Linked DNA regions of Anolis sagrei. Each later gene encodes a partner of the first gene's protein in a complex. Links are inferred from orthologs where the notes say so. Each region holds a gene or a part of one and is shown in the gene's direction. Other genes may lie near its edges. The genes, in order: APOOL, MICOS13 and CHCHD3.

Region 1 (9,958 bases):
AACCAAACTTTCACTTGGACTGTTTTTTTTTCCCCAAATGACAACAAAATTTTGAGCGCCTTTGTATTTAAAAAGAGAGAGAGAACCTATGTCTTTGGAGCATTTTTGTTTACATGATAATATGTATATATAAATATATATATATTAGAGGCAGAACTGTTATTTATCACACTTTTTATGTTGTGCGTCCTTCTTTCTAAAAGTCTTTCTGTCACCAAGAAATATTTTCTATAAATGGGGAGAAATGTATCCGAGGGAGTTCCCGCACCCGTCCTGAAGCTTGAAGAATGAAACCGGTTGTGTGTGTGTTTACCTATGTAGCTGTGCAAGAAAACCAAAATGTGATATAAACTCATAAAACCAGGGAGGAATTTGCTCGATTGCATCACAGACTATGGCTTGCCCTGTGGTTTGAAAGCTTAAGAATACACCCTTTATATTTTTCTTCCATGGGGAGATTTCCCCCTTATCCTCATCTTGGGCTGGCACCATTCTCCATCCCATCGCAAGAAAGATAGAGAGGAAGAAAATGGATTTACGGCACTATCCTGCACATTTTGACTCAAAAGTCACTCCCATTGATTACAATTGAGCTTGTTCTCAATGACCAGAGTACAGGATGGCCACCTTGGGCAGGTAAAGCTCAATTTCGATCCCTGGATAATAACAACAGGTTCATTTGTGTCCCTTTCTTTCCAGTTTCACCAAAGTCCTACCTTGAGAAGTGATCCACTGGTTGATATAAGGCGATGAATGTTGATTTTCCTTTCCTTTCCCTTTTTTTAAAACAAAACTCAGTTCTCTGTGAATTACTGTACTTGGCTGCATTTGTTTTCTATCACGGAATAACTTGTTGATTATAGTTTTTCATTTTGCGTGTCTACAATGAGAATCGATGAATGGAGGAAAACTTTCACTGTGTGTTGCTCACTGGGCATATACCTCATGGTACATTGCACAGACGTGTAAGTTGTAAGTTGCACTGCAACATTATAAAAGGAACATATTGCTCTTTTTTCAAAGATATTAACTTATTTAAAAAAATATATAGACTGTACATTATTGAAAAAAGGACATTTATTCTTCCTAAATCCAAAAGTAGCTTTTGTTTTGGGGAGGGGGGAAAAAAACGTTGTAAAACTTCAGTTGTTGATTTGGACTTCAATAAAAAGAATTCTCTGCACTTTAGGAACTTCTTGTCTTCCTTTGTACTTTCTGGGCTTCAAGAAAATATTGATACTTTATTAATAATTCACAATGATTTTTCAGTTTAATGTGTCCAAACGGTGCTTCCAGATTTGGCAGATCCCTAAAATACATTGTAAGTAAGTAAAAAAGAGTGGAGCAGCGTACAGGGTGCATAGGTAAAGGTAAAGGGGTGTGGTGTTCATAGGTAAAGGGGTGTGGTGCTCATCTCCATTTCTAAGCCGAAGAGCCGGTGTTGCCCATAGACACCTCCAAGGTCATGTGGCCGGCATGACTTCCCACCGGAGCGGTATATATTGATCTACTCACATTTGCATGTTTTCGAACTGTTAGGTTGGCAGAAGCATACAACCCCCATTATGCCAGCTCCACTGACTGCCAACTGGCTACCAAACACAATTCAAAGAAGGAGCCTCCACCACACTCTGCGGCAGAGATTTCCATGGCTGAACAGCTCTCACGGTTAGGAAGTTCTTCCTCACGTTCAGGCTTTAGCCCAATACCAGCAGTTTTTAACCAGTGGGCCATGTACAGCCAGTGGGCTACAAAGACGAAAATCTGGTCCATGAGCCTCCTCCTTCCTTCCTTCCTTTTTATTTATTTATTCATTTTAGTTTATTTCCGCTCCTTTCGCGCCTCCTGCCACTCCTTCCTTGTCACTGACCATAGCAATGTGTTCTGTATCAGAGACTAGAGCTGATGTGGTCTATCCAATGCAATTTTCTGAATCAGCCCCCTAAATAACCAACCAAAACTAAAGTTGACCAAAAACCGATTCGTAACCCTTTTGGTACTGTTGGAGAGTGGTCCCTGGTCAAGTAGTCCCTGATCTAAGTGGTCCCTGATTTAAAAAAAAGGTTGGGAACCACTGCCCTATATGGTTCTGGCCCAGTTTATTTGTCTGAATATATCTCCCTCTATGAACTACTTCAGAGATTAACATTTTCTGGGGAGGCCCTACTCTCGGTCCTACCTCCTTCACAGGTGCTGTTGATGGGGATGAGAGACAACGCCTTCTCAGTGGTGGCCCCTCAGCTATGGAACGCCCTCCCCAGCAAAATCAGGTCAGCTCCCTTCCTCCTGTCCTTCAGAAAACATGTAAAAACATGGCTGTGGGACCAAACCTTTGGTCAGTAGTGCAGTGAAATAAGTGATGCAATAACAACTGGAATAACAACTGGACAATATGCAATAACAACTGGAACAGCTTTTAGACTATGATCTCAGATTGCATGGTTCTAATGGCTTTTAAATTTATGTTGGGGTGAGAGGGGCGGGATATAAATACTGTAAATAAACAAAAGTAAAACTTTATTTCTATCTCACCCCATGGGGACTCAGGACCATTCACAACATAAAAGGAAAACATTCAATGCCGTAAAATACAACAATAGACTGAAACCATTCAAAATAAACATAACAAAGCATTCAACAATAAAGCAAATCACATGAACACAACAGTAAATTACACGATAATAATAAAACAAATTTAAAAGTCGTATCTAAAATCCATTCCTTATTTCATAGTGTCGGATCTTTAAACATTGGTCAATATTTACAAATCTGATACATTTACAGGTTACGGATTTGGTAAAAACACGATCTTTTCCATATCCGTTTCTTCGATAGATTTCGTTTTGATGAATTGTGTACATGATCACAGATAGATTTATTACTACTACTACTTATTATTATCATCATATTTCTTGCCCGTCTCTCCTCGAGGTGGGTTACAGAATAATTAAAACACATAAATATTGTAAAAACACAAATTATATAAACTGTATTCATACAAAAGATACATATTAAAATGTATTTCTATAAAATCTATATTAACCAGCTTGAAACAATGTAAAATAATAATAATAATAATAATAATAATAATAATAATAGATGTTTATTTATATCTCACCTTATCTCCCCTTGGGAACTGTGGGTGGTTCACAAAAAACAACGGTAACCATTCAATCTCGTAAAGTGCCACCAAATCAAATAAAACGTACTGAACAAGAACATAATAGTGCCATAATACACCAAATTAGACATCACATTGCTAAAACTACATCTTCAACAAATAAGAATGTAGGACAACACTTAAAAATTAGAGGCTAGTAGCAATTAAAACGTAACATTTTAAAAAGCCAGAAGAAAGCCATTTCCATATTCCGTTCCATTTTTATTGTACCAGGTGTTTATATATGTTACACGTCCTCCTCTCTATATGCCCGAGAGCATAAAGTCTTCAGCTATTTCTTAAAAGAGAAGAGGGAGAGGTCTGAAGGAAAGTTGTGCGGCATTTCAAGCCAAAGGAAAGGAAAGAAGCGGATCGAGCTGCTGCTAGGTGAAGTGGCCCTCTTGGATGTCACTGGGAAAGAAAGGGAAAGAAGTAGTTGCTACGTGAAATTTTTATATATATTATATATATGGAAGGACTTAGGCGATCCCTCATTGTCTGAGTAGGACAGTCTTCCAAGATCAGTGTCCTGGCGGTGGGTCCGTAGGTGACTGTGGAGCCCTATTCTTGATCTGCATCTTCTCCCACAGTGAGGGCATCGGTTTCCGGGTAGAAGGCGGTCTTGGTTGGGGTCAGCTTGACGCGCCTTCCTCTTGGCACGTTTCTCTCTTTTTGCCCTCCATTCGTGCATCTTCAAATTCTACAGCACTGCTGGTCAGAGCTGATCTCCAACTGGAGTGCTTTTTTCTGGCTTTTCTCTGGGAGGGAGGAAGGATGGAAGGAAGAAAGGAAGGAAGGAAGGAAAAAGGAAAGGGAGGGAGGAAGGGTGGGAAGGAGGGAGGAAGGAAGGAAGGAAAAAGGAAAGGGAGGGAGGGAGGAAAGAAGGAAGGAAGGAAAGAAGGAAGGGAGGGAGGGAGGAAAAAAGAAAGGGAGGGAGGGAAGGAGGAAGAAAAAAGGAAGGAAGGAAGGAAGGAAAAAGGAAGGGAGGGAGGGAGGAAAAAGGTAGGAAGGAAGGGTGGGAGGGAGGGAGGGAGGGAGGAAAAAAGGAAGGAAGGAAGGAAGGAAAGAAGGAAAGAAGGAAGGAAAAAAGGAAGGGAGGGAGGGAGGAAGGAAGGAAAAAAGGAAGAAGGAAGGGAGGGAGGGAGGGAGGAAAAAAGGAAGGGAGGGAGGAAAAAGGGAGGGAGGGAGGAAGGAAAAAGGAAGGAAAGAAGGAAGGGAGGGAGGTTGGGAGGGAGGGAGGAAGGAAAAAGGAAGGAAGGAAGGAAGGAAAAAAGGAAGGAAGGAAGGGTGGGAGAGAGGGAGGGAGGAAAAAGGAAGGAAGAAAGGAAGGAAAACGGAAGGAAAGAAGGAAGGAAGGAAAGAAGGGAGGGAGGGAGGAAGCAAGGGAGGAAGGGGAAAAAAGAAGGGGAAGGAAGGAAGGGAGAAAAGAGGAAGGGGAGAGGAAAGAAAGAAAAAAGAGGGAAGGAAAGAAAGTGGAAAAGGGAAGAGTAAAGTGGAAGAAAGGAAGGAAAACAAAGGAAAGGCGAAATGTAGGAGAGAGAGCAAAAGAAGGAAAGGGAGAAACAGAAAGAGAAGAGGAAAGAGCATCCAGGGAGGGGAGGGGCAGAAGGAAGAGATAGCTCTGCCTCCTGGGGGTGACATCTCTTACCTGATTGGGCCAGCGCCATTCCCAATCGGCGGCTGTCCCTCGCGTGTGGGCGGGACTTGGGCGCCTGGAACTCTTGTCTCCGCCAATCCTGGTTGGCTGTCTTTTTGAAGCACCGCCTCCTGACGGTGACGTCGCCTGCAGGGCCAAGATGGCGGCCAAGGTGAGTGGCTGTGCTGATTGTAAGGCCTCTCAGTGTTTCTGAAGCCTCAATGAGGCAAAGGGAAAGAGTGTCGTGAGCATGTGCAGAGTGGGAAAGGAGACTGGGTGCTTTTACACCAGGTACGGGCAAACTTGGCCACTCCAGGTGTTTTGGACTTCAACTCCCACAATTCCTGACAGCCTCAAGCCCGTTCCTTTGGAACGGGCTTGAGGCTGTCAGGAATTGTGGGAGTTGAAGTCCAAAACACCTGGAGGGGCCAAGTTTGCCCAGGCCTGATCTACACTGTAGGACAAACACAACTTGGCCCCGCACTCCCAGTTTGACTTTTAGTTTCAGTCTCCCTTTTGCCCGAAATACTTTGAACCAGGCCTGTTTTGCAATTCTTTCTAATAATAATAATACAATTTATTTATTACCTGCCTCTCCTGATGGCTCGAGGCAGGGTACAACAAAAACACAAACATAAGAAGATTTTTAAATACAATACATTACATAGATTAAAAACATAAACATAGATGCATACACACACACACCAAATACAGAATTGACATAGAGTAGCAATACACACACTCATACTTCTACCCCAAACAGATACAGAATGGACATAGTAGCAATATTCAATATACTACAAGTGTGTGTTTCTACAATATGCTACATGTGTGTATATATACACACACAAACACACACATGCACACATGTACCAAAAACAAAACATAAGAACATTTTAAAATACAATACATGATATAGATAAAAACACATAGATGCATACACACACACCAAACACAAATACAGAATTGACATAGAGTAGCAATACACACACTCATACTTCTACCCAAAACAGGTACAGAATTGACACAGTAGCAATATTCAATATACTGTACTACAAGTGTGTGTTTCTACAATATGCTATGTGTGTGTATATATATACATACACACACACAAACACACACCAAACACAAATACAGAATTGACATAGAGTAGCTATACACACACTCATACTTCTACCCAAAACAGGTACAGAATTGACACAGTAGCAATATTCAATATACTACAAGTGTGTGTTTCTACAATATGCTACGTGTGTGTATATATACACACACAAACACACACATGCACACATGTACCAAAAACATACAGAATTGACATATAGTAGCAATATTATATATACTACAAGTGTGTGTGTTGCTGCTATATGCTACATGCATGTATGTGTGTATATATACATATATATATACACACACACAAACTTGTATCAAAACCAGATGCAGAATTGTGTGTGTGTATGTATATATACACATACACATACTTGTATCAAAACCAGATGCAGAATTGTGTGTGTGGATATATATATATATACAAATACACATACTTGTATCAAAACCAGATGCAGAATTGTGTGTGTGTATATATATACAGACGCACATATATGCACACACACACTTCTACCAAAAACATATAGAATTGACATATAGTAGCAATATTATATATACAGGTTTGTGTATGTGTGTTGCTACTATATGCTACATGTATGTATGTGTGTCACACATATTTGTATCAAAACTAGATGCAGAATTGTGTGTGTATATATATACAGACACACATATATATGCACACACACACTTCTACCAAAAACATATAGAATTGACATATAATAGCAATATTATATATACAGGTTTGTGTATGTGTGTGTGTTACTACTATATGCTACATGTATGTATGTGTGTATATATACACACACACACATATTTTTATCACAACCAGATACAGAATTGTGTGTGTGTATATATATATATATATACACCCACACATATATACACACACTTCTACCAAAAACAGATACAGAATTGACATATAGTAGCAATATTATATATACTACAAGTGTGTGTGTGTTGCTCCTATATGCTACATGCATGTATGTATACACACACACAAACTTGTATCAAAACCAGATGCAGAATTGTGTGTGTGTATATATATATATACAGATACACATACTTGTATCAAAACCAGATGCAGAATTGTGCGTGTATATATATACACCGCTGTGAGTTGCCCCTTGGCTGAGAACAGCGGTATATAAGCAAAGTAAATAATAAATAAATAAATAAATAAATAAATATACAGACACATATATGCACACACACACTTCTACCAAAAACATACAGAATTGACATATAGTAGCAATATTATATATACAGGTTTGTGTATGTGTGTGCGTTGCTACTATATGCTACATGTATGTATGTGTGTATATATATATATACACACACACATATGTTTGTATCAAAACCAGATACAGAATTGTGTGTGTGTGTGTGTATATATATACACACACACACACACATATATATGCACACACTTGTACCAAAAACAGATACAGAATTGACATATAGTAGCAATATTATATATATTGCTACTATATGTCACTATATGCTACAAGTGTGTGTGTATATAGTTACTATAAGCTACAAGTGTATGTATATATATTAGGCCTGTTTGATCAAGAAAAAATTTGTTTCTAAATTCGATTCTTAATTGGGGTGTTTTTTTGTTTCGATATTTAAAATATTTACAAAACTTTCCAAAAAAATGTTTTGTTATTTACGAATTTTCGTTATTATTTACAAAACATTTTAGAAAAAAAATTTTTCTTGATCAAACAGGCTAAGTGTGAATGTTGCAGTAATGGTCACCTTGATTAGCATTGAATGGCTTTCTCCCACCCTGGACATTCCATAGATATATTAGATGATATATAACTCACCATTTGCCTAGTTTCCAACAGACCTCTGAGGATGCCTGCCATAGATGTGGGCAAAATGTCAGGAGAGAATGCTTCTGGAACATGGTCATACAGCCCTGAAAAGTCACACAAGCCGGATGGCGCGCGGAGGCCGCTTGTGAGCGCGCGCGCGCGCCATCCAATGGGCTCCGGAGGAAGAGGAGGAGCCAGAGCCGGATGGCGCGCGGAGGCCGCTTGTGAGCCCGCGCGCGCCATCCAATGGGCTCCGGCTCCTGCGCCCCCCCCTCCTCCTCCTCCTCCTCCTCTTCCTCCCAGCTGGGAGGAAGAGGAGGAGGAGGAGGAGGAGGAGGAGGAGGGGGGCGCAGGAGCCAGAGCCGGATGGCGCGCGGAGGCCGCTTGTGAGCCCGCGCGCGCCATCCAATGGGCTCCGGCTCCTGCGCCCCCCCCCCTCCTCCTCCTCCTCCTCTTCCTCCCAGCTGGGAGGAAGAGGAGGAGGAGGAGGAGGAGGAGGGGGGCGCAGGAGCCAGAGCCGGATGGCGCGCGGAGGCCGCTTGTGAGCGCGCGCGCGCTATCCAATGGGCTCCGGAGGAAGAGGAGGAGCCAGAGCCGGATGGCGCGCTCAGCAGCAGCCTCCATGCCATTAACGAGCGGAGCTTCAGCTCGTAAAATACATGGGGCTGCTGCTTCGATATTTTTAAACCCTTCCGGGTTTAAAAATATGTTTTGATATCGCTTCGGATATGCAAAAAATAACGATTTTAATACGAAATAACGAATTAACGAAACGAAACCGACAGGCCTAATATATATATATATATACACACACACATACACTTGTATCAAAACCAGATACAGATACATATATAATAGCTCTCTCTCTCTCTCTATATATATATATATATACACACACACATTTGTACCGAAAACAGATACAGGATTGACATAGTAGCAATATTATGTGTATGTGTATACACACATATACACACACCTATTTGTGCCAAAAACAGATACAGAATTGACATATAGTAGCAATATTATATACATATACATATAGTAGCAATATTATACCAAACATCAATACAGAATTGACATATAGTAGCAATAGAATGTGGTTTTATACACAAACACACACACATATATCTTACAGATGCGATTCCAAACAGTAATCCCTTTATGTTCCACCTACACTTTGTATTTTTATACACAATATATGAAATACTTTTGTGTGTTGTACGCAATATTTGTAATACAGTACTTTAATATAGGAAGCAAAGATAACACCGTTTCAGCCACTGATAGGGACCATTTTGGAGTAGTTAGAATAAGGAAAACCTGCCCTACACTGGCCATTGGAGTGTGAATGGTTGTGGAGACGAGAGGGTTCCTGAGCATATGCAAAGCACCTCCATTTTTGCATTCATCCTTGAAATTGCAAGGAAAAGGTCTCTAAATATATGCCAGGGAAGAAGGTAATAAATTTATTATTATTATTATTATTATTATTATTATTATTATCTGTGTTCTTCCATTGACCCATAAACCGCTATTATGTCTGGGCACTGTATAAATACAATACTGGCCCACATCAGGCCTTGGTCTGCTTTGGCAGGTCTCTCTTATTTGGTATATAAAACATAATTCAGAACTGTATAAGGATCAACACTTTGAAAATGAATTTGCTATTTATGGAAATAAGCGGAAGGAAGAGAACTGTGATAAAGACTTAAAGCTCTCAGTTGAGCTTTTCCAGATGCAGTGAAAACAAAGCCATCTCCTTAGGTCTGGCTGAGCCTTGTGATTTTAATGGGATTTCTTTTGCTGAATAAATCCTCCTTTTGAATAATAGCTTCAGAGTAATTGCTGGGCAGTGAAGTGATGTACAGAAGCGTCCTGTTAATCATTGCACAGTCGACTTCAATAGACATTGCGCTGCAAAGCAATTAGTGCCTGTCAAGAACGGAGCTAATTCCAGAAACCAAGGCACAGTTGCTAACCCTCTGAACACTGTGGAATGCGTTTCTATACTGCATACATAACTTTATTTAACACCCTTCCCACTCAGTTTTCAAACATGTTGCATAGAGAAAACTAGATTCCTCAGCAATTTTTGATATGGCAGTGCACAGAATAAGGCACATAGCAAAATGATAACTCTATGTAACATAATGATTGTTCCTGGGTTATAAATGTCGTTTCCAAATTGTTTCTGCCATAAAAAACATGGAAAATGTTTATTAGACTGCTGTT
Region 2 (10,161 bases), on another chromosome or scaffold:
AGGTATTATCCATAATATATCTGTCAGTGTATTATTTCATAATTATAAGAAATATTGTGTATTATCAGAATCATCTAAGGTATTATAATATAATATTAAAGGCCCCTGGTGGTGCAGCAGGTTAAGCTGCTGAACTTGTTGGCGGTTTGAATCCAGGGAGCTGGGTGAGCTCCCCTCTTAGGCCAGCTTCTGCCAACCTAGCAGTTCGAAAACATGTGAGTAGATGAATAGCTACCGCTCCGGCAGGAAGATCAATAGCGGCGGGAAGGTAACAACACTCCATGCAGTCATGCTGGCCACATGACCTTGGAGGTGTTTATGGACAACACCAGCTCTTTGGCTTAGAAATGGAGATGAGCACCACCTCCCAGAGTCGGACACAACTAGTCTTAATGTAAGGGAAAACGTTACCTTTTTTAACAATATGTATTATTATCATCATCTATACAGTAGTACTAACATATTAAATATAATACTACCTATAATATATAATAATATAGAATGATACTATTTTATTATTGTATATTTGCATATTTGAAGTTGTAATGTATTAATTGTGAGCTGTTTGAGTCTCCGTATGGAGAGATAAATAAATAAATAAGAAAATATTGTTAAGTATTACTATATATTATGATATGGCATATATTATATTATTATATTATAGGATAAATATATTATTACATTATAGTATTATTATAGTAGAGTATTATATATTAGGATATTATCTCTTCCAACTCTCTATCCATCCATCCAATGGGGTTGGACTAGATGGTCCTTGGGGGTCTCTTCCAATTCTAGGATTCTCTCTCTCTCTCTCTCTCTATATATATATATCTATTTATTTATCTATCTATCTAATGGGGTGGACTAGATGGCTCTTGGGGTCTCTTCTTACTCTAGGATTCTATCTATCTATCTATCTATCTATCTATCTATCTATCTATCTATCTATCTGAGGGAGCTGGACCGGATGGCCCTTGGTGGTTCCTTCTGACTCTAGGACCATTTGCCTGAAACTCACTTCGTTTTGCTGATGGCCGACTCGGTGTCGATGAGGCCCAGGAAGCAGAGTGTGATGCTGATCTCTTTCTGCTGCATGACCAGTTCGTGGCGCAAGGAGCCAAAGAAGCCCTCCAGGGCAAACTTGGTGGCCGAGTAAGGAGCCACGAAGGGGGTGGACACTCTTCCTGAGAGGGAAAAAATACTAAATACTGCATCAAAGTGGAGGAGGTTATTCTTTGTGCTTTGCTTAGAAGAATAACCTAGTGAAGCGATTAAGGAAGGATGAGAGAAGGGGACAGGAGAGCCATGTCTCCATCTTTGAAGGAAGGAAGGAAGGAAGGAAGGAAGGAAGGAAGGAAGTCCCATGGAGGAGGACGGGACAAGCCTTGTTTCCTTGCATTGGCTAATTGGTGGCCGGTCTCTGGGAGCAGTAGTTTCCCAAGGGCACTCACTCACCTGTCAGGGAAGAGACCACCACTAGTGAACCCTTGCTCTCTGCCAAGGGAGGGAGAGCCACCGAGGCGAGGGCCACATAGCTGAAGAAGTTCACCTGGAAGGGAGAGGAATATTAATATTAATAATAATATTAGTAATAATAATAATTGTAATAATAATTCTGTTGGGTGGATTTGGATTGTGCCTTCCAGAAGGGGGATGGACTGGATGGCCTTTGGAGGGCCCTCCCAAATCCCAGCCGCACCTGCATGAGCCAACGCAGATGGTCCATGTCTCCAGCCCACATCTCAAAAGGGCTCGATCCGTCATGGTTGAGGACCACAAAATCCAGGCCCCCTAAAAAAAGAAGGATGGGAAAGAAAAGCAGATTTGTCATTGGCAGAAAGCGATGAAAAAACAGGTCCAACTTGTTATCCCAATTCATCCATACAGTGTGAACCTAAGGGTTAGTTAGAATCGCGTAGAAGTACTGCACTTTGACATCACTTGGGAGTTGTAGTTTTGGGGTTTGAGGACCCACCGAGTTCCTCCAAGGCAAAATGGACCAGCTTTTCTGGCTCTGCGGAAGAAGCCATATCTGCGACGAAGTAGACGGCCTTCTTGGCTCCCAGCTCCAGGCATTTGGCCATCACCTGGACAAAAGCAAAAGGAACAACCACCATTTATGGACTTCTTCAACCGGGAGAAATCCAGCCATGTGCGATAGGGATGGTTCCTAGTACAATTGGTTCGCTGTACCATCCATGGCTTGAAAGTATTTCTGAAAAACCCCAAAATTCAACCTTAGTTTTGCCATTTTATGCGTATTGTTCACCACTGCATATAATGGGAGTTGAGCATCCATGGATTTGGGGATCCACGAGGGTCCTAATACCCAATGCAAACAGATATTGGTATCCATGGGGGTCCTGGAATTGGATCCAATCAGGTATTGGTATCCATAGGGGCCCTAGGACCTAACCCAACCAGAGACTGGTATTTATGGGGGTCCTGGAATCAGACCCAATCAGGTATTGGTATCCATAGGAACCCTAGAACACAACCCAACCAGATATTGGTATTCCTGGGAACCCTAGAACCCAATCCAACCGGATATCAATAGCCACAGGGACCTAGAACCCAACTCAAATAGACTTTGGTATCTATTGGAGCTCTAGAACCCAACCCAACTGTCACACAGCAGGGCTGGAAAGGCGCCTTTAAACCAATCTCACACCCCAGAGCTCAGTTATAAGCAAAGCAGTTTCTTAAGGTATAAATGTAGCTTCAGCAAAAATGATAAGAAGTCAATACAAAATATAATCCATGTAACACAAGGCACTTAGGAAGACTTGGAAGCAATAATCCACGAGACCAGAATGTAAGCAAGATCTTTAAACTGGACTCTTGAAAGAACACAGCAACCGAGAAGATCAAAAGTACATGGCAGCTATACCCAAGATCCAAAAATACATGAATCCATGAAACCACTTGATTCTTGAAGCAATACAGGAAACCAGGAAAACACTTGATTCTTAGAACATGAGTCCATGAACCCCATCCATGAGAGGAACGAGAGAGAGGAACTTAGAGCATGTTAATTCTATCCAAACGTTGATTCCTCTAAAGGCCTTAGAACTAAGCCAACCAGACATAGGTATCCACTGGGTTCCTAGAACCCAACACGAACATTAATATCTAAGGCGGTCCTAGGACCAAACCTAACTAAACATAGGTATTCTTGGGAGTCCTCAAACCAGACGCAATCCGGTACTGGAATCCATGGGGGCCTTAGAACCAGATATTGGTATGCATGGAGGCTCTAGAACTCAACCCAAGCTCTATCTTTCCCCAATCCCAGACTTTGAATCTGGATGTGTTCTCACTTTCTGCAGCATGGCCTCCCTCCGGGCGGTGAGGACAATTTGTGCCCCGAACCGGGCGTAATGGTAGGCCATTTGTTCCCCGATCCCATCGCTGGCGCCAGTCAAGAGAACCCGGGCCCCGGAAAGGCTGTCTGGGAGAGAAAAAGAAATACGGCCAAAGGGGAAAGTAGAGTACCGTATACACTTGAGTATAAGCCAAGATTTTCAGCCCTTTTTTAGCCTGAAAATGCCCCCCATCGGCTTATACTCAAGTGGTCCTGGTGGGAAGTCATGGGATTGAAATATGCCCTTGTTTCAGCCCCACGACTTCCCGCCAAGATCCTCACCTCTTCACCCAGCAGGGTTGATACTTGTTTATATACGGTATTTTGCCTGCCAACAAGTGTCGGCCTTCATTGAGTCTTAGAGTTGGCAGGGAAACCCATGGGCTGTGCCAGGCAGGCGGGGTACACAATCCGAACCCTCCCAACAGATGGCCACCCGTTCCTCTGCAGCTCCTACCTGGCTCGAAGGTGTCTCTCCAGGAGAAGGCCACCCAAACAGCTGCGATGCCAAGGACCGAGAGCAGAAGCCCAGCGGCCCTCATCTCCCTTCTCTCCAAGTGTCACCACAAATAGATATTCAAGCCTGAAAATGATGGCAAGGGTCAGAAACGGATCAGGGGATACAAAGGGCGGGTGCCTCCCACGCCCTGCAGGCCAACGGGTGTGTTTTGAGGAGAGAGAGAGTCGCTGAACTGGGACTCAGCTCCATGGAAGACTGCCAAAAGGAGCCCCTTCCGCACTGATTGTATAATGTAGCTTGGAACTGCGTTACATGGATTGCGTAGACTCATAGAATGCAGTCTAACTGTATGATAGGAGTCAACATTGACCATACAATGCATTGAGCTGCATTATAGGACTTTACACTGACAATAGAATATACTGAACTACATTATAGGAATCTACACTGGCCATATAATGCATTGAACTGCATTACTGGACTCTACGCTGATAGTAGAATGCACTGAACTACATTATAAGAATCTACTCTCATGCAGTCTAACTATGCATTATAGGGTCTACACTTACCATATAATGTATTGAACTATGTAACAGGAGACTACACTCACCACAGAATATACTGAACTGCATTATAGGACTCTACACTGACCATAGAATGTATTGAACTGTACTATAGGACTTTACATTGAACATAGAATGCATTAAGCCAGTGCTTCTCAACCTGTGGGTCCCCAGGTGTTTTGGCCTACAACTCCCAGAAATCCCAGCCAGTTTGCTAGCTGTTAGGATTTCTGGGAGTTGAAGGCCCAAACATCTGGGGACCCACAGGTTGAGAACCACTGCTTAAGCTATATTTTGGGACTCTACGCTGACCATAGAATGCATTGAGCTGCAATATAGGGTCTACACTTTGCACAGAATGCACTGAACTGTACAAGAGAGAGTACACCCACTATATAATGCATCGAACTGCATGATAGGCGTCTATATTGCATTATTTGGCAGTGTAGATTCGCCCTCAAGGCCTCAGGAAACACTTAACAGAAAACCCAAAACGCAGAAACCTGTCTATATAAGATCAACATGAACGAGTTAATCATAACGCCATATTTCTACTTTATGGTATAAAGAATTTTAAATACTTTAAAATTCAATAGCTGCACCGAAATTCTGGATTCTCCTCCTTGTTTACAAAAAGTTTAACAGAAGACTGAAAACGATGTTATCCCAGGAAGACTGGCACGACCTTAAACGTGGCACGACCTTAAGGAAGTAGGGAACAGAGTGGACAGAGTGGGGGAAAACATGATTCCGCTCGCGCATGCGCACGGCAACCTCCCTGCTCATGCGCACAACGGGCCCATTGGTTACCGTTAGAACAAGAAACATAATAAAAAGCCTTCATGTTTTGAGGGAATGTTGCCTCGCCCTACACTCATTCAGTTTCATTCAATTCACATTAAGTTCAATTTCCTATAGTTGGTGAAAAAGAAAGAAAAAGCCCCCGCCCTCCCTCTCAGGAACAATGGCGGCCTCCATTTCTCTCAACCGCGGCAGTTCCCGAAAAGTCTCGCGAGAGTAGGTCAGCCAATGGGCTTTTGCTGCAGGGGGGAAAAACCGGTGCGGGCGGGCGCTTTGCTGCCCTTGGGCCGGCGAAGGCGTTGCTGTCATGGCGTCTCGCTTCGTCCCTGTGATCAAGTGAGTCGGGAGGGCGGTTTTCTAGATTCATAATCAGGAAAGAAGGGCTCAATGCAATGGGATCTTGGCATCAGTAGTCTGGCAGGCCTTGCAAAACTACAGCACCCAAGCTTTAATGGCAAGAGGGTTGCACTAGATGGCCCTTCCAACTGTAATGCTCTGCGTTTGAAATATTGCAATCCCAAATCTCTTTGAAATAGTGGAATCCAATTCTCTTTTGGGAAACTGTTACCATTATTGCAATCTAAGGCCTCTTCTGTACTGCCATACAATCCAGATTATCAAATCCGATAATCCACATCATCTACTTTGAACTGGATTATATGAGTCTACACTGCCTGATAATCCGGTTCAAAGCAGGTAATCTGGATTTTGTATGGCAGTGTAGAAAGGGCCGAAGTCTTTGCTTTGAACTGTTTTGAAGGTTGTATTCCAAGTATCTTATTTTAGAATGCTAATAATATAATATAACATATTGTACATACATATTATATTGTATTGTCCAAGGCTTTCATGGCTGGAATCACTAGGTTCTTGTAGGTTTTTTCGGGCTATAGGGCCATGTTCTAGAGGCATTTCTCCTGACGTTTCGCCTGCATCTATGGCAAGCATCTTCAGAGGTAGTGAGGTCTGTTGGAATTAGGACAATGGGTTTATATATCTGTGGAATGGCTGGGGTGGGGCAAAGAGCTCTCTGCTGAAGCTAGGTGTGAATGTTTCAGCTGACCACCTTCATTAGCATTTGAAGGCCTGGCTGAGCCTGGGAAAATGTTCTGTTGAGAGGTATTAAGATGTGCCTGGTTGTTTCCTCTCTGCTGTTTTGCTGTTGCAATTTTGGAGTTTTTTTAATACTGGTAGCCAGATTTTGTTCATTTTCATGGTCTCCTCCTTTTTGTTGAAATTGTCCACATGCTTGTGGATTTCAATGGCTTCTCAGTGTAGTCTGACATGGTGGTTGAATCTGAAAATGAACAAAATCTGGCTACCAGTATTAAAAACTCTTTAAAAACTCATTTAAAACAGCTGGAATGTGTCCAGAGGAGGGCGACTAAAATGATCAAGGGTCTGGAGAGCAAGCCCTATGAGAAGCGGCTTAAAGAGCTGGGCATGGTTAGCCTGAAGAAGAGAAGGCTGAGAGGAGACATGATAGCCATGTATAAATATGTGAGAGGAAGTCATAGGGAGCAAGCTTGTTTTCTGCTTCCTTGGAGACTAGGACGCGGAACAATGGCTTCAAACTACAAGAAAGGAGATTCCATCTGAACATGAGAAAGAACTTCCTGACTGTGAAAGCTGTTCAGCAGTGGAACTCTCTGCCTTGGAGTGTAGTAGAGGCTCCTTCTTTGGAAGCTTTTAAACAGAGGCTGGATGGCCATCTCTCAGGGGTGCTTTGAATACAATATTCCTTCTTCTTGGCAGGGGGCTGGACTGGACTGGATGGCCCACGAGGTCTTTTCCAACTCTATGATTTTATGACATAAACACAGACTGGGCCACAGCAACCCATGGCAGGGGACAGCTAGTATTATAATATAATGTAATACAATATAGTACTAATGATAAAACAGTAGAATAATTGTATATTATATATTATATGTAATATTACTAATAATATTGCAGGGGCAGAAGTCTCTTTGTTTTGAACTGTTTTGAAGGTTGTATTCCAAGTATCGTATTTTGGAATGCTCATGAGATATGTATATATATCTATATAAATAAAAATGTAATGTTCGTTCATAATCCAAATTATCTATTTAATAATAATATTTTTTCTATACTATACCTTTGGGCCTTTCCAGACAGGCCCTTTATCCCATGATCTGATCCCAGGTTTTTGGTTTATATGAGTCTGCACTGCCAGCTAATCTCGGATAAACAGAAAACCTGGGATCAGATTCTGGGATACAGTTTTTAACTGTAGGCACTTAGGACTCTTCCGCACAGCCATATAACCTAGGATATCAAGTCAGAAAATCCCACAATATCTGCTTTGAACTGGGTTGTCTGAGCCCAGTTCTATATATTCCAGTTCAAAGCAGATAATATGGGATTTTATTTAGCTGTGTGGAAGGGACCTCAGTTAACTCTCAAGCAACAGGCAACAATGGAAAATAATATTTTAAAGAAAACATTAAAATACATGTAGAATGTTTTTGTCTTAGTTAATGTGTTATTACTAATTCATGTATACTGCATTTCAATAGGAATATCAAGTCAATACTATACAGAGTTTATCAATTGCATATTTATTTATTTACTACAATTGATCCCCCACCCTTCTCAAACCGAAGGGGACTCTGGGCGGCCTTACAACAGGTAGCAATTCAATGCCATACACATAAACAAAGACAATTAAAATCCAAGCAGTTTAAAATATGAATTAAAATCACACCATCCAAATCATAATCCAAGGCCGTTCCATTTATCTGTCACATTAATTCGTGGTCACTTATGCACTGCTCCCATTGCTGGTCAAAGGTTTGGTTCCAAAGCCATGTGTAAGTTTTTTTCATTAAGGTCAGGAGGGAGGGGGCTGACCTGATTCTATTGGGGAGTTCCATAGCCGAGGGGCCACCACTGAGCAGGCCCTGTCTCTCATCCCCACCAGTTGCGCCTGAGATGGAGGTGGGACCGAGAGCAGGGCCTCCCTGGAACATTTTAGCCTCTGTGATGGTTCATAGAGGGAGATAAATGTGGATAGGTAAGCTGGGCCAGAACTGTTAGGGCTTTATAGGCCAAAGCCAGCACTTTGAATTGTGCTCGGTAGCGAACTGGCAGCTAGTGGAGCTGACGCAGCAGCGGGGTTGTATGCTCCCTGTACCCTGCTCTGGTGAGAAATCTGGCTGCCACCCGTTGGACCACTTGAACCTTCCAAACAGTCTTCAAAGGCAACCCCACATAGAGCATGTCGCAGTAGTCTATTTAGGAAGTAACAAGAGCATGGACTACCATGGCCAAGTCCGACTTCCTAGGGTACATGTGCAGTCGGCGCACAAGTTTTAATTGTACGAATGCTCCCCTGGCCACCACCGAGACCTGGTGTTCCAGGCTCAGCAATGAGTCCAGGATCACTCCCAAGATGAAAACCTGCGTAGTGAAATCAGTATTGATATTGAAATGCTGAGTCTACTTTCTTTTTCTGTTCCTTTACAATCTATGCTTTGTTTGTATCTATGCAGGTTCCTGCTCAAAGGAGGCTTAGCGGGAGGCTCCATCTATGTGGTCTATAGCCAAGGGCTCCTTGGTGGAGGGGAGGAAGGGGCCCAGGCCCTCCACAAGGCCAAAGAGGCCCTCCCACCGGCCCTGGAGGAGTGGGCCAAGTATTTTGGCTGGCAGGTGAGCCCCTTGGGATGGGGGCCTTGGCTGGGGCAAAGGGGAGAACTGAGGTCTCATTCGTCACACCACCCCCACCTCCCTCAGGATGGCAAAGAAAAGGCTTTATGAAGGAACAGAGTATCTGCAGCTTAGGAGAAACATGCATCAGGCAGATATTTTTTCTTTTAATATTTATGTGTTGGGTAATTCCATGCTTACGTTGCTGTTAGTTTTTTTTTTTTCCATGTTGTGACTCTGTATGTTTTGATGTTGTTGCTTGGAAACTGCCCTGAGTCCCCCCGGGGAGATAGAGTGGTATATAAATAAAAGTTTTATTATTATAATATTTATAGACAGCTGTAGAGTTGGAAGACTGTAGGACCCTAGAGTTGGAAGACATAGAGAATGAAAGTTGAAAGATGGAGGGTTTTTTTTGTCATGTTAGGAGCGACTTGAGAAACAGCAAGTCGCTTTTGGTGTGAGAGAATTAGCCGTCTGCAAGGACGTTGCCCAGGGGACGCCCGGATGTTTTTTGATGTTTTACCATCCTTGTGGGAGGCTTCTCTCATGTCCCTGCAATGGGGAGCTGGAGCTGATAGAGGGAGCTCATCCATGCTCTCCCTGGATTCGAACCTGTGCCACTGGGGGCGCCGTATAGATATAGAGTTAGAAGAGATAGATTTTAAAATCCTAGAGTTGGAAGATCATAGAATCCTAGTTGGAAGAGATAGATATATGGAAGACCACAGAATCCTAGTTGGAAGAGATAGGTAGATGGAAGATCCAAGAATCCTAGAGTTGGAAGAGATAGATAGAAGATCAAAGACAGACAGATAGGTGGAAGATCAAAGAATCCTAGACTTGGAAGAGTTAGACCCAACTCAAGCTCTCCCAACAGATGGACATTTTCCCTGTGCTTGAAAGCCTCCCGTATTTGCCTACAGATCTCCCTTGGGCTGTCTGAGATGCATTAATTTCTTTTTGGAACCCTTTTCCTAGCTTGTGTTTGTGTTCTCTTTTTACCCAGTTCCCAGCCATCCCCAAGACCGACTTTTCCCTCTGCAACGCCTGGAACTCGGGTGAGGATCTGTTGTTTATTTATAGGAGAGACATTGGGGCAGATCACCTTGGCCCCAGATTTGTTGAGGGAGGTGGCCTTTAGGTTATAAGGAAATGTATCACTTTGCTTCTGATTTTTCTATAGGGGTCCGGACAGTCATCGGCGGCCTCTCAGTGGCCCCCACGCGGGCCAGCGAATATACCCAGTACGGCTGGAAGTACATGAAGGATCTTGTGAAATGACACCTGCAATAAAACCC
Region 3 (10,664 bases), on another chromosome or scaffold:
TGCCAAATTTGGTTCAATTCCATCATTGGTGCAGTTCGGAATGCTCTTTGATTGTAGGCAAACTATAAATCCCAGGAACTACAATTCCCAAATGTCAAGGTCTATTTTCCCCAAAGTTCACCAGTGTTCGCAGTTGGACCTATTGAGTATCCGTGCCAAGTTTGGACCAGATCCATCACTGTTCGAGTCCACTGTGTTCTCTGCATGTAGGTAAACTACAACTCCAAAACTCAAGGTCAATGCCCATCAAACCCTTCCAGTATTTTCTTTTGGTCATGGGAGTTCTGTGTGCCAAATTTGGTTCAATTCCATCATTGGTGGAGTTTGGAATGCTTTTTGATTGAAGGCGAACTATAAATCCCAGCTTTTTGATTGAAGGCGAACTATAAATACCACTCCTAAATGTCAAGGTCTATTTCCCCCAAACTCCACCAGTGTTCACATTTGGGCATATTGAGTATTCGTGCCAAGTTTGGTCCAGATCCATCATTGTTTGAGTCCACAGTGCTCTCTGTATGTCGGTAAACTACAACTCCAAAACCAAAGGACACTGCCCACCAAGCTCTTCCAGTATTTTCTGTGGTCATGTAGAAATAACGCAGTTTTGCACCACTTTAACTACCATTACTGAAAGCTAATAAGTCCTGAAGCTTTTAGTCTTCTCTGATAAAGAGTGCCTCACCAAGATCCCATCACATTGAGCCATGGTATTATAGAGCGGTATCAAACCTCTTTAATTCTACAGTGTAGATGAAGCCTGAGAGCTGCTCCAGCCAGTGGTAAAGAAGGATCAGCCAATGAGAGAGCTGATGAACACTAGCCAATCATACATGGGCAGGCATGACATCATTTGCCTTTGTGACCTCACCAGGCCCATGTGATGTCATAATGTATGAGATAAGGTTGAAAGTATCTGCTAGTAGATGATGGACTGCATTTCTGAAACTGGATGGCACACAGAGACAACCCGCTATTCAATAGCTAAAAGAATACAAGGGAGAGGACCTTCGCTGAACCTCTTTCGATGGAGATAGCACCATCTTTTACCTTTAGATGGAAGGTAAAACCATTCCTCTTTACCTGGATCTATGCTAACCATATAATGCAGTTTGAAACTGCATTGTATGGTCAGCGTAGAACTATATATAGCAGGCGGGTAATAAGAAATAATTTATTATTATTATTATTATTATTATTATCATCATAAAGATAATATAATGTAATATCATTGTGATGATATTGTGTTGCCAGAAGAGTGTCTGGTTTGGCTTGCAGTCCGTACAGGCCATCCTTATCACGTATTTGCCAAAGCTTATAGATAGATAGTTATAGATAGGTAGTTCATAGATAATATATATTTGCCCTATAGATAGAGAGTTCATAGATAACACGTTTCATAGAATAGTTATATTGGCATAGAATAGATAGAATTTGCCAAAGCTTATAGATAGATAGTTATAGATAGGTAGTTCATAGATAATATATATTTGCCCTATAGATAGAGAGTTCATAGATAACACGTTTCATAGAATAGTTATATTTGCCATAGAATAGATAGTATTTGCCAAAGCTTATAGATAGATAGTTATAGATAGATAGTTCATAGATAATATATATTTGCCCTATAGATAGACAGTTCATAGATAACATGTTTCATAGAATAGTTATATTTGCCATAGAATAGATAGTATTTGCCAAAGCTTATAGATAGATAGTTATAGATAGGTAGTTCATAGATAATATATATTTGCCCTATAGATAGAGAGTTCATAGATAACACGTTTCATAGAATAGTTATATTTGCCATAGAGTAGATAGAATTTGCCAAAGCTTATAGATAGATAGTTATAGATAGGTAGTTCATAGATAATATATATTTGCCCTATAGATAGAGAGTTCATAGATAACACGTTTCATAGAATAGTTATATTTCCCATAGAATAGATAGTATTTGCCAAAGCTTATAGATAGATAGTTATAGATAGTTCATAGATAATATATATTTGCCCTATAGATAGACAGTTCATAGATAACACGTTTCATAGAATAGTTATATTTGCCATAGAATAGATAGTATTTGCCAAAGCTTATAGATAGATAGTTATAGATAGGTAGTTCATAGATAATATATATTTGCCCTATAGATAGAGAGTTCATAGATAACACGTTTCATAGAATAGTTATATTGGCATAGAATAGATAGAATTTGCCAAAGCTTATAGATAGATAGTTATAGATAGGTAGTTCATAGATAATATATATTTGCCCTATAGATAGAGAGTTCATAGATAACACGTTTCATAGAATAGTTATATTGGCATAGAATAGATAGAATTTGCCAAAGCTTATAGATAGATAGTTATAGATAGGTAGTTCATAGATAATATATATTTGCCCTATAGATAGAGAGTTCATAGATAACACGTTTCATAGAATAGTTATATTTCCCATAGAATAGATAGTATTTGCCAAAGCTTATAGATAGATAGTTATAGATAGATAGTTCATAGATAATATATATTTGCCCTATAGATAGACAGTTCATAGATAACACGTTTCATAGAATAGTTATATTTGCCATAGAATAGATAGTATTTGCCAAAGCTTATAGATAGATAGTTATAGATAGGTAGTTCATAGATAATATATATTTGCCCTATAGATAGAGAGTTCATAGATAACACGTTTCATAGAATAGTTATATTTCCCATAGAATAGATAGAATTTGCCAAAGCTTATAGATAGATAGTTATAGATAGTTCATAGATAATATATATTTGCCCTATAGATAGAGAGTTCATAGATAACACGTTTCATAGAATAGTTATATTTCCCATAGAATAGATAGAATTTGCCAAAGCTTATAGATAGATAGTTATAGATAGTTCATAGATAATATATATTTGCCCTATAGATAGAGAGTTCATAGATAACACGTTTCATAGAATAGTTATATTTGCCATAGAATAGATAGTATTTGCCAAAGCTTATAGATAGATAGTTATAGATAGGTAGTTCATAGATAATATATATTTGCCCTATAGATAGAGAGTTCATAGATAACACGTTTCATAGAATAGTTATATTTGCCATAGAATAGATAGAATTTGCCAAACATTATAGATAGATAGTAATAGATAGGTAGTTCATAGATAATATATATTTGCCCTATAGATAGAGAGTTCATAGATAACACGTTTCATAGAATAGTTATATTGGCATAGAATAGATAGTATTTGCCAAAGCTTATAGATAGATAGTTATAGATAGGTAGTTCATAGATAATATATATTTGCCCTATAGATAGAGAGTTCATAGATAACACGTTTCATAGAATAGTTATATTTGCCATAGAATAGATAGAATTTGCCAAAGCTTATAGATAGATAGTTATAGATAGGTAGTTCATAGATAATATATATTTGCCCTATAGATAGAGAGTTCATAGATAACACGTTTCATAGAATAGTTATATTTGCCATAGAATAGATAGTATTTGCCAAAGCTTATAGATAGATAGTTATAGATAGATAGATCATAGATAATATATATTTGCCCTATAGATAGAGAGTTCATAGATAACACATTTCATAGAATAGTTATATTTGCCATAGAATAGATAGTATTTGCCAAAGCTTATAGATAGATAGTTATAGATAGATAGATCATAGATAATATATATTTGCCTTAGAGTATTTGTAATAAAGAATAGATAATATTTGCCAAAGTTTATAGATTTTAGAGTAGTTATATTTACCTCATAGAATAGTTATAGTCATACATTCCCCATAGCTTATAGTTATAGAAATTATAGTAGTTGTTACATCAGAGTTTATATTTCACTAATCAAACTGTACTTTTATACCTTGATTATTTAGTAAACAATTGTTGAACTTAATCTTGTTTGTAGAGTTTTATTTTGGGGGAATTATAGTAATTTAGGGCATACCGATGGTCACTGGGAAAATAGCCAGACACATTTAGTTTCTCCTTAGATCTTCCTGGTGTGCCATCATAATCATGAATAATAATAATAATATATCATCATGTAAAATAGTATATTGTTATTAATAATAATATGTCATTATTAGTAATAATAATATGTTATTATTATATTGTTGATTTTTTTTGTCGTGTCAGGAGCGACTTGAGAAACTGCAAGTCGCTTCTGGTGTGAGAGAATTGGCCGTCTGTAAGGATGTTGCCCAGGGGATGATTTGATGTTGTTAATAATAATATTATATTATTGATAACATTATTAATAATACACTAATAATAATAAAAATAATAATTATTAATAATATATCATTTTTATTATTAATATAGTATTATTAATATATTGTTGTAGCCCGGAGTGGAAATAATCTATCGGACAGATGGCAAGCTATTCAACCTCAGCAGACTGAAAGCCAAAACCAAGGTTACAACAACAGCTGTTATAGAACTCCAGTATGCTGACGACAATGTCGTCTGTGCGCATTCAGAAGATCTACAAGCCACTCTAAACACCTTCGCAGAAGCATATGAGAAGCTCGGCCTGTCACTGAACATTGAGAAAACCAAGGTGCTGTTCCAGCAGTCACCAGCCCATCCCTCTCCAATGCCAGTAATACAGCTTAATAGCGTAAAATTAGAAAATGTGGACCATTTCCGCTACCTTGGCAGCCACCTCTCCACCAAAGTCAACATCGACGCTGAAATACAACACCGCCTGAGCTCTGCAAGTGCAGCATTTTCCAGAATGAAGCAGAGAGTGTTTGAGGACCGGGACATCCGTAGGGAGACCAAGGTGCTTGTTTATAAAGCTATTGTCCTCCCAACCCTGCTCTATGCCTGTGAGACGTGGACTGTCTACAGACGTCACATGCAGCTCCTGGAACGTTTCCACCAGCGCTGCCTCCGGAAAATCCTGCAAATCTCCTGGGAAGACAAGCGGACAAACGTCAGTGTGCTGGAAGAAGCAAAGACCACCAGCACTGAAGCGATGGTCCTCCAACATCAACTCCGCTGGGCCGGCCACGTTGTCCGGATGCCTGACCACCGTCTCCCAAAGCAGTTGCTCTACTCTGAACTCAAGAACGGAAAATGGAATGTTGGTGGACAGGAAAAGAGATTTAAAGATGGCCTCAAAGCCAACCTTAAAAACTCTGGCATAGACACTGAGAACTGGGAAGCCCTGGCCCTTGAGCGCTCCAGCTGGAGGACAGCTGTGACCAGCAGTGCTGCAGAATTTGAGGAGGCACGAGTGGAGGGTGAAAGAGAGAAACGTGCCAGGAGGAAAGCGCGTCAAGCCAACCCCGACCAGGACCGCCTTCCACCTGGAAACCAATGCCCCCACTGCGGAAGAAGATGTAGAGCAAGAATAGGGCTCCACAGCCACATACGGACCCACAAGGAAATCCATAATGGAAGACCATCTTACTTGTCCAACGAGGGATCGCCTAAGTAAGTAAGTAAGTAAAGTAAGCCCGAAAAACCTCAGCCCTATTGTTATATTATCATTGGTATTATTATTATTAATATATATATATATATATATATATATATATGGTATTATTATTAATAATTAATTATTATTATTACCAATGATAATATAACAATAGGCCTGTTTTGCACCAATTGGGCCAAGGATATACAATTCTGGGATTTATAGTTCCTTGTGGCAGAGAAGGATTAGATATTTCACAATTCCCAAAAGTCTCAAAACTTTGTAATAATGTGCAATGACACTTCAAGTAAGGCTAAATGCTTCATTATGGCCCCAGAATGCTAACACTGCTCTATTAACTACATTTCCCAGCGTGCATTGCGACAAGCGGCGGGCATTTGTAACCAATTCTTGCCGCGTTGCACGCTGGGAGAGGCAGTTCCCATGCTCTTTGAGAGAGAAGAGGGAAAGAGAAAAAGTTTCCACGCCGCCTGTCACTTGGTCAGGCCGGGGCAGGGCCCGTTGCTCAGGGCAACCGTTCTCCCCACCAATCGGAGAGCGGCGGAGGCGGGACGTAAGAGGGGGATGGCCAATGGGCGACGGGTGTGGGCGTGGCGTCTTATAGGGCACCTCCAGGGAGGCTTTTGCGGCCTAGTCTGGTGGTGAGCGAGCCTGGAGCGGGATGGGCGGCGGAGGCAGCGCCCCAAGGAGGGTCACCTTCGAGGCGGACGAGAACGAGAACATCACGGTGGTCAAGGGCGTCCGGGTGAGAGGGAAGACGGGTTGGCTGGACTTAAGCTGAGTGAGCTAGGCCTCAGAGGAGGAAGAGGAGAGGAAAAAGAGTAGGCCCCTGTTGACCTCAGAGGGGTCAAGCATGGAGAACAGGCAGGGTCCAACTTGGGCCTTCCCTCCAGGTGTTTTGGACTTTAACTCCCACAGTTCCTAACAACCTATGCTGAAAGAGTACTTTGGCTGCAGTGTGAGGCCAAGATTTTCGTTTAGAGAGGTCTGTGTATCTTCTGATTGAGCACACACCACATTATCATCAGCATATTGGAGTTCTATAACAGATGTTGTTGTGACCTTGGTTTTGGTTTTTGGGCAGCTGAGGTTAAAGAGCTTGCCACCTGTCCAATAAGCGCATTGCAGAAGTCCAACCTTGAGGTTACCACTATCTTTGGGTCTTCCAAATCTAGGAAGGGACGCAGCTATCGCGTATCAGCCATTGCATCTGCCTGGCCTGATATTTGGAGGGATATCCAGGAGTGCTCCCAAACTTCAAACAGTCGAAATATGTCAGGGAAAGTCATAAGGCGGAGGGAGCAAGCTTGTTTTCTGCTGCCCTGTAGAATCATAGAATCATAGAATCAAGGAGTTGAAAGAAACCTCATGGGCCATCCAGTCCAACCCCATTCTGCCAAGAAGCAGGAACATTGCATTCAAATCACCCCTGACAGATGGCCATCCAGCCCCTGTTTAAAAGCTTCCAAAGAAGGAGCCTCCACCATCCTCCGGGGCAGAGAGTTCCACTGCTGAACGGCTCTCACAGTCAGGAAGTTCTTCCTCATGTTCAGATGGAATCTCCTCTCTTGTAGTTTGAAGCTATTGTTCCACTGCGTCCTAGTCTCCAGGGAAGCAGAAAACAAGCTTGCTCCCTCCTCCCTGTGGCTTCTTCTCACATATTTATACATGGCTATCATATCTCCTCTCAGCCTTCTCTTCTTCAGGCTAAACATGCCCAGCTCCTTAAGCCGCTCCTCATAGGGCTTGTTCTCCAGACCCTTGATCATTTTAGTCGCCCTCCTCTGGACACATTTTTTGCATTAAAACAAACAAACAAACAAAACACAAAATTTGCAGACTTGGTATACTATTAAATGTCTTTTGACCAATTGCTGGCCACTTGGGGTGCCTCTGGTGTTGCTGCAAGAAGGTCCTCCATTGTGCATGTCGCAGGGCTCAGGTCGCATTGCAGCAGGTGGTCAGTGGTTTGCTCTTCTCCACACTCGCATGTCGTGGACTCCACTTTCTGGCCCCATTTCTTATGGTTGGCTCTGCATCTCGCCATGCCAGAGCGCACTCTGTTCAGCGCCTTCCAAGTCGCCCACTCTTCTGTGTGGCCAGAAGGGAGTCTCTCATTTGATATCGGCCATGGTTTGAGGTTCCAGGTTTTAGCCTGCCACTTTTGGACTTGCTTGCTGAGGTTTTCCTGCGAATATCTCTGTAGATCAGTGGTTGTCAACCTGGGGGTCGGGACCCCAGAGGGGGTCGCAAGAGGGTGTCAGAGGGGTCGCCAAAGACCATCAGAAAACACAGTATTTTCTGTTGGTCATGGGGGTTCTGCATGGGAAGTTTGGGCCAATTCTATCATTGGTGGGGTTCAGAATGCTCTTTGACTGTAGGCGAACTATAAATCCCAGCAACTACAACTCCCAACTGTCAATGTCTATTTTCCCCAAATGCCACCAGTGTTCACATTTGGGCATATTGAGTATCCTTGCCAAGTTTGGTCCAGTTCCATCATTGTTTGAGTCCCCAGTGCTCTCTGGATGCAAGTGAACTACAACTCCAAAACTCAAGGTCAATGCCCATCAAACCTTTCCAGTATTTTCTGTTGATCATGAGAGTTCTGTGTGCCAAGTTTGGTTCAAGTTTGGTGGAATTCAGAATGCTCTTTGATTGTAGGTGAACTAGGAATGAAAGTAACTGCAACTCCCAAATGACATAATCAATCCCTTGCCGAATCCCAGTAGTATTCAAATTTGGGTATTTTGGGTATTTGTGCCAAATTTGGTCCAGTGAATGAAAATACATCTTGCATTTTGGATATTTACATTACAGTTCATAACATTAGCAAAATTACAGTTATGAAGCAGCAATGAAAGTAATGTTATGGTTGGGGGTTGCCACAACATGAGGAAGTGTATTAAGGGGTCGCGGCATTAGGAAGGTTGAGAAACACTGCTGTAGATCTTAGAAAACTATTTCTTGATTTAGGGCATTGGTGTGCTGGCTGGTATCTCAACAGGGAGTGGGCCAAAGATGTCACTGCCTTGGTCCTTTAACTATTTGTTTCTACTCCCCGGGGGATGTCAGGTGGTGCAATACCGGCTAAACAGTGTAATTTCTCCAGTGGTGTAGGGCGCAGACACCCCGTGATAATGCGGCATGTCTCATTAAGAGCCACATCCACTGTTTTAGCGTGGTGTTACCATGATTTTCAGGTCCTCCAAATCTTGGAAGGTACACAGCTAGTGTATCATCCATCACATCTGTCTGCTTGTAGAGATGGATCCAGGAGTATTCCCAGACTACAAACATAGTCTTTCAGAGGGAGTGAAACCCTATCCAGAACTGGTTGATGATGTTGTTGTTCATTCGTTCAGTCGTCTCCGACTCTTCGTGACCTCATGGACCAGCCCACGCCAGAGCTCCCTGTCGGCCATCACCACCCCCAGCTCCTTCAAGGTCAGTCCAGTCACTTCAAGGATGCCATCCATCCATCTTGCCCTTGGGCGTTCCCCTTTCCTTTTGCCTTCCACTTTCCCCAGCATAATTGTCTTCTCTAGGCTTTGCTGTCTCCTCATGATGTGGCCAAAGTACTTCAACTTTGTCTCTAGTATCCTTCCCTCCAATGAGCCGTCGGGCTTTATTTCCTGGAGGATGGACTGGTTGGATCTTCTCGCAGTCCAAGGCGCTCTCAGGACTTTCCTCCTGGTTGATACACCCAGATTGGTTGATACACCCAGATTAAGGCCCTTAATGGCAAGCACCTCTGTTTTGTCTGGATTCAGTCTCGATTTAGTTTTTCTCATCCAGGCCCATTACCTCTTCCAGGCATTCATTCAGGGGAGACACGCTATCCTTCACTGAGAATGTTTTGAAATATATTTGAGTGTCATTCACATACTAATAACACCCCACCCCATGCCTATGGAATATCTTTCCCAGCGGTTTCATATAAATCATAGAACCATAGAATAATAGAGTTGGAAGAGACCACATAGGCCATCTAGTCCAACCCCTTGCCATGCAGGAAAAGTACAATCAAAGTTAAAAAAAACTTTGAGGATAGAATGTTAAGAGTGGTCTATAAATGCAACTAATATATATGGAGGTTCCAGAAGCATTCTCTCTTGACGTTTCACCTGCATCCATGGCAGGCATCCTCAGAGGATGTGAGGTCTGTTGGAAACTAGGAAAATTGGGTTTATATATCTGTGGAATGTCCAGGGTGGGAGAAAGAACTCTTGTCTGTTTGAGGTAGGTGAAACGTCAAGAGGGAATGCTTCTGGAACATGGCCATAGAGCCTGGAAATCTCACAACACCCCAATGTTCAGAGGATTTGCTAGTTACAGTATTAGTTATTTATTTCACTGTATTACTAGACATATTTAAAGCTTCAACTAGGTCCATCACAAGCTAAAAATTAATTGCTGCTCTCAGTTTAACCTGTCTCTGTGTTATATGCCTTTGTGGAGACTCTGCTGCAGGAGGCTCATGTTGTGAATTGTCAACGGCTTTTGTGTTGTGTTCCTCAGATATACTTTCTAGGCATATTTGGTAGAGCTTTATACTGTTATCCTTTGGGTATCAATTAAAAACTTGTTGATTGTCCATTCTGTTGAAGGCCTTGGGTCCCCTGTAGTTCATTTCTTTCCTACTATCTGTTCGACCAGCTTTTACTTTTTAGGTTTTCCTGTAATGAATGTTCTCCTTGGAGGAAGTTTTGGTGGAAGGACATAATATGATTTTTTTTTCACTGAGTTATAAGTATTTTTGTGGTCCGATGTGTGAATTTTGAAAATCTGTTGTTAGAAACACCATGCTAGTAAAGTAATGCTACTTTGCCATGTTCTCACCTGCTGCATCATTCTTCCTCGCCTTGACCTCATGGGCACTTTTCTTTTTCTTTTGCCTTGACCCCTCCTGCCCATTTCTTCAAGATACTTCTAAAGGGCTTTTTAGTGTCAACCCTGTAGTTTCTGAAGCTTATGGGAAAGCTCTTACCAGGAACACTTCAAAAGAAAAAATGAAAGACAAATGATGAAACGGAGAAATATTGGGGTGGCACTTGCAGAAGGGTTTGTTCCTTCTGTCTTTTTGATGTTCTCTCACTTCACCTGGCACCTGCTTTCTGTCTTTCTTTGTCATATATTCTTTGATTTCACCTCCCCTCTTTGTTCCTTTACCTGTAAACCTGCATTCTTCTGTTTCTGTGACACTGACCAGCTT

Evidence for each region.
Region 2: APOOL (region 1) and MICOS13 share a complex: the UniProt entries of both Homo sapiens proteins name them as parts of the mitochondrial contact site and cristae organizing system (MICOS) complex. The link is inferred for Anolis sagrei from reciprocal best matches to the Homo sapiens genes APOOL and MICOS13.
Region 3: APOOL (region 1) and CHCHD3 share a complex: the UniProt entries of both Homo sapiens proteins name them as parts of the mitochondrial contact site and cristae organizing system (MICOS) complex. The link is inferred for Anolis sagrei from reciprocal best matches to the Homo sapiens genes APOOL and CHCHD3.

What each region holds. Positions count from the first base shown.
Region 1 is NC_090030.1:13,730,579-13,740,536, forward strand, and holds the start of APOOL (MICOS complex subunit MIC27), read left to right. Parts: upstream 1-4,902; 5' UTR 4,903-4,956; coding exon of another isoform or gene 4,957-4,968; intron 4,969-9,052; exon of another isoform or gene 9,053-9,165; coding exon of another isoform or gene 9,166-9,180; intron 9,181-9,958. UniProt on the Homo sapiens protein: Component of the MICOS complex, a large protein complex of the mitochondrial inner membrane that plays crucial roles in the maintenance of crista junctions, inner membrane architecture, and formation of contact sites to the outer membrane.
Region 2 is NC_090034.1:54,659,418-54,669,578, forward strand, and holds the start of MICOS13 (MICOS complex subunit MIC13), read left to right. Parts: upstream 1-5,422; 5' UTR 5,423-5,498; coding exon 5,499-5,527; intron 5,528-8,706; coding exon 8,707-8,863; intron 8,864-9,869; coding exon 9,870-9,921; intron 9,922-10,046; coding exon 10,047-10,144; 3' UTR 10,145-10,161. Other genes in the region: hydroxysteroid 11-beta-dehydrogenase 1-like protein, read right to left, coding at 1,022-1,187, 1,459-1,552, 1,703-1,794, 1,979-2,090, 3,324-3,454, 3,825-3,909. UniProt on the Homo sapiens protein: Component of the MICOS complex, a large protein complex of the mitochondrial inner membrane that plays crucial roles in the maintenance of crista junctions, inner membrane architecture, and formation of contact sites to the outer membrane.
Region 3 is NC_090025.1:192,695,242-192,705,905, reverse strand, and holds the start of CHCHD3 (MICOS complex subunit MIC19), read left to right. Parts: upstream 1-6,031; 5' UTR 6,032-6,110; coding exon 6,111-6,194; intron 6,195-10,664. UniProt on the Homo sapiens protein: Component of the MICOS complex, a large protein complex of the mitochondrial inner membrane that plays crucial roles in the maintenance of crista junctions, inner membrane architecture, and formation of contact sites to the outer membrane.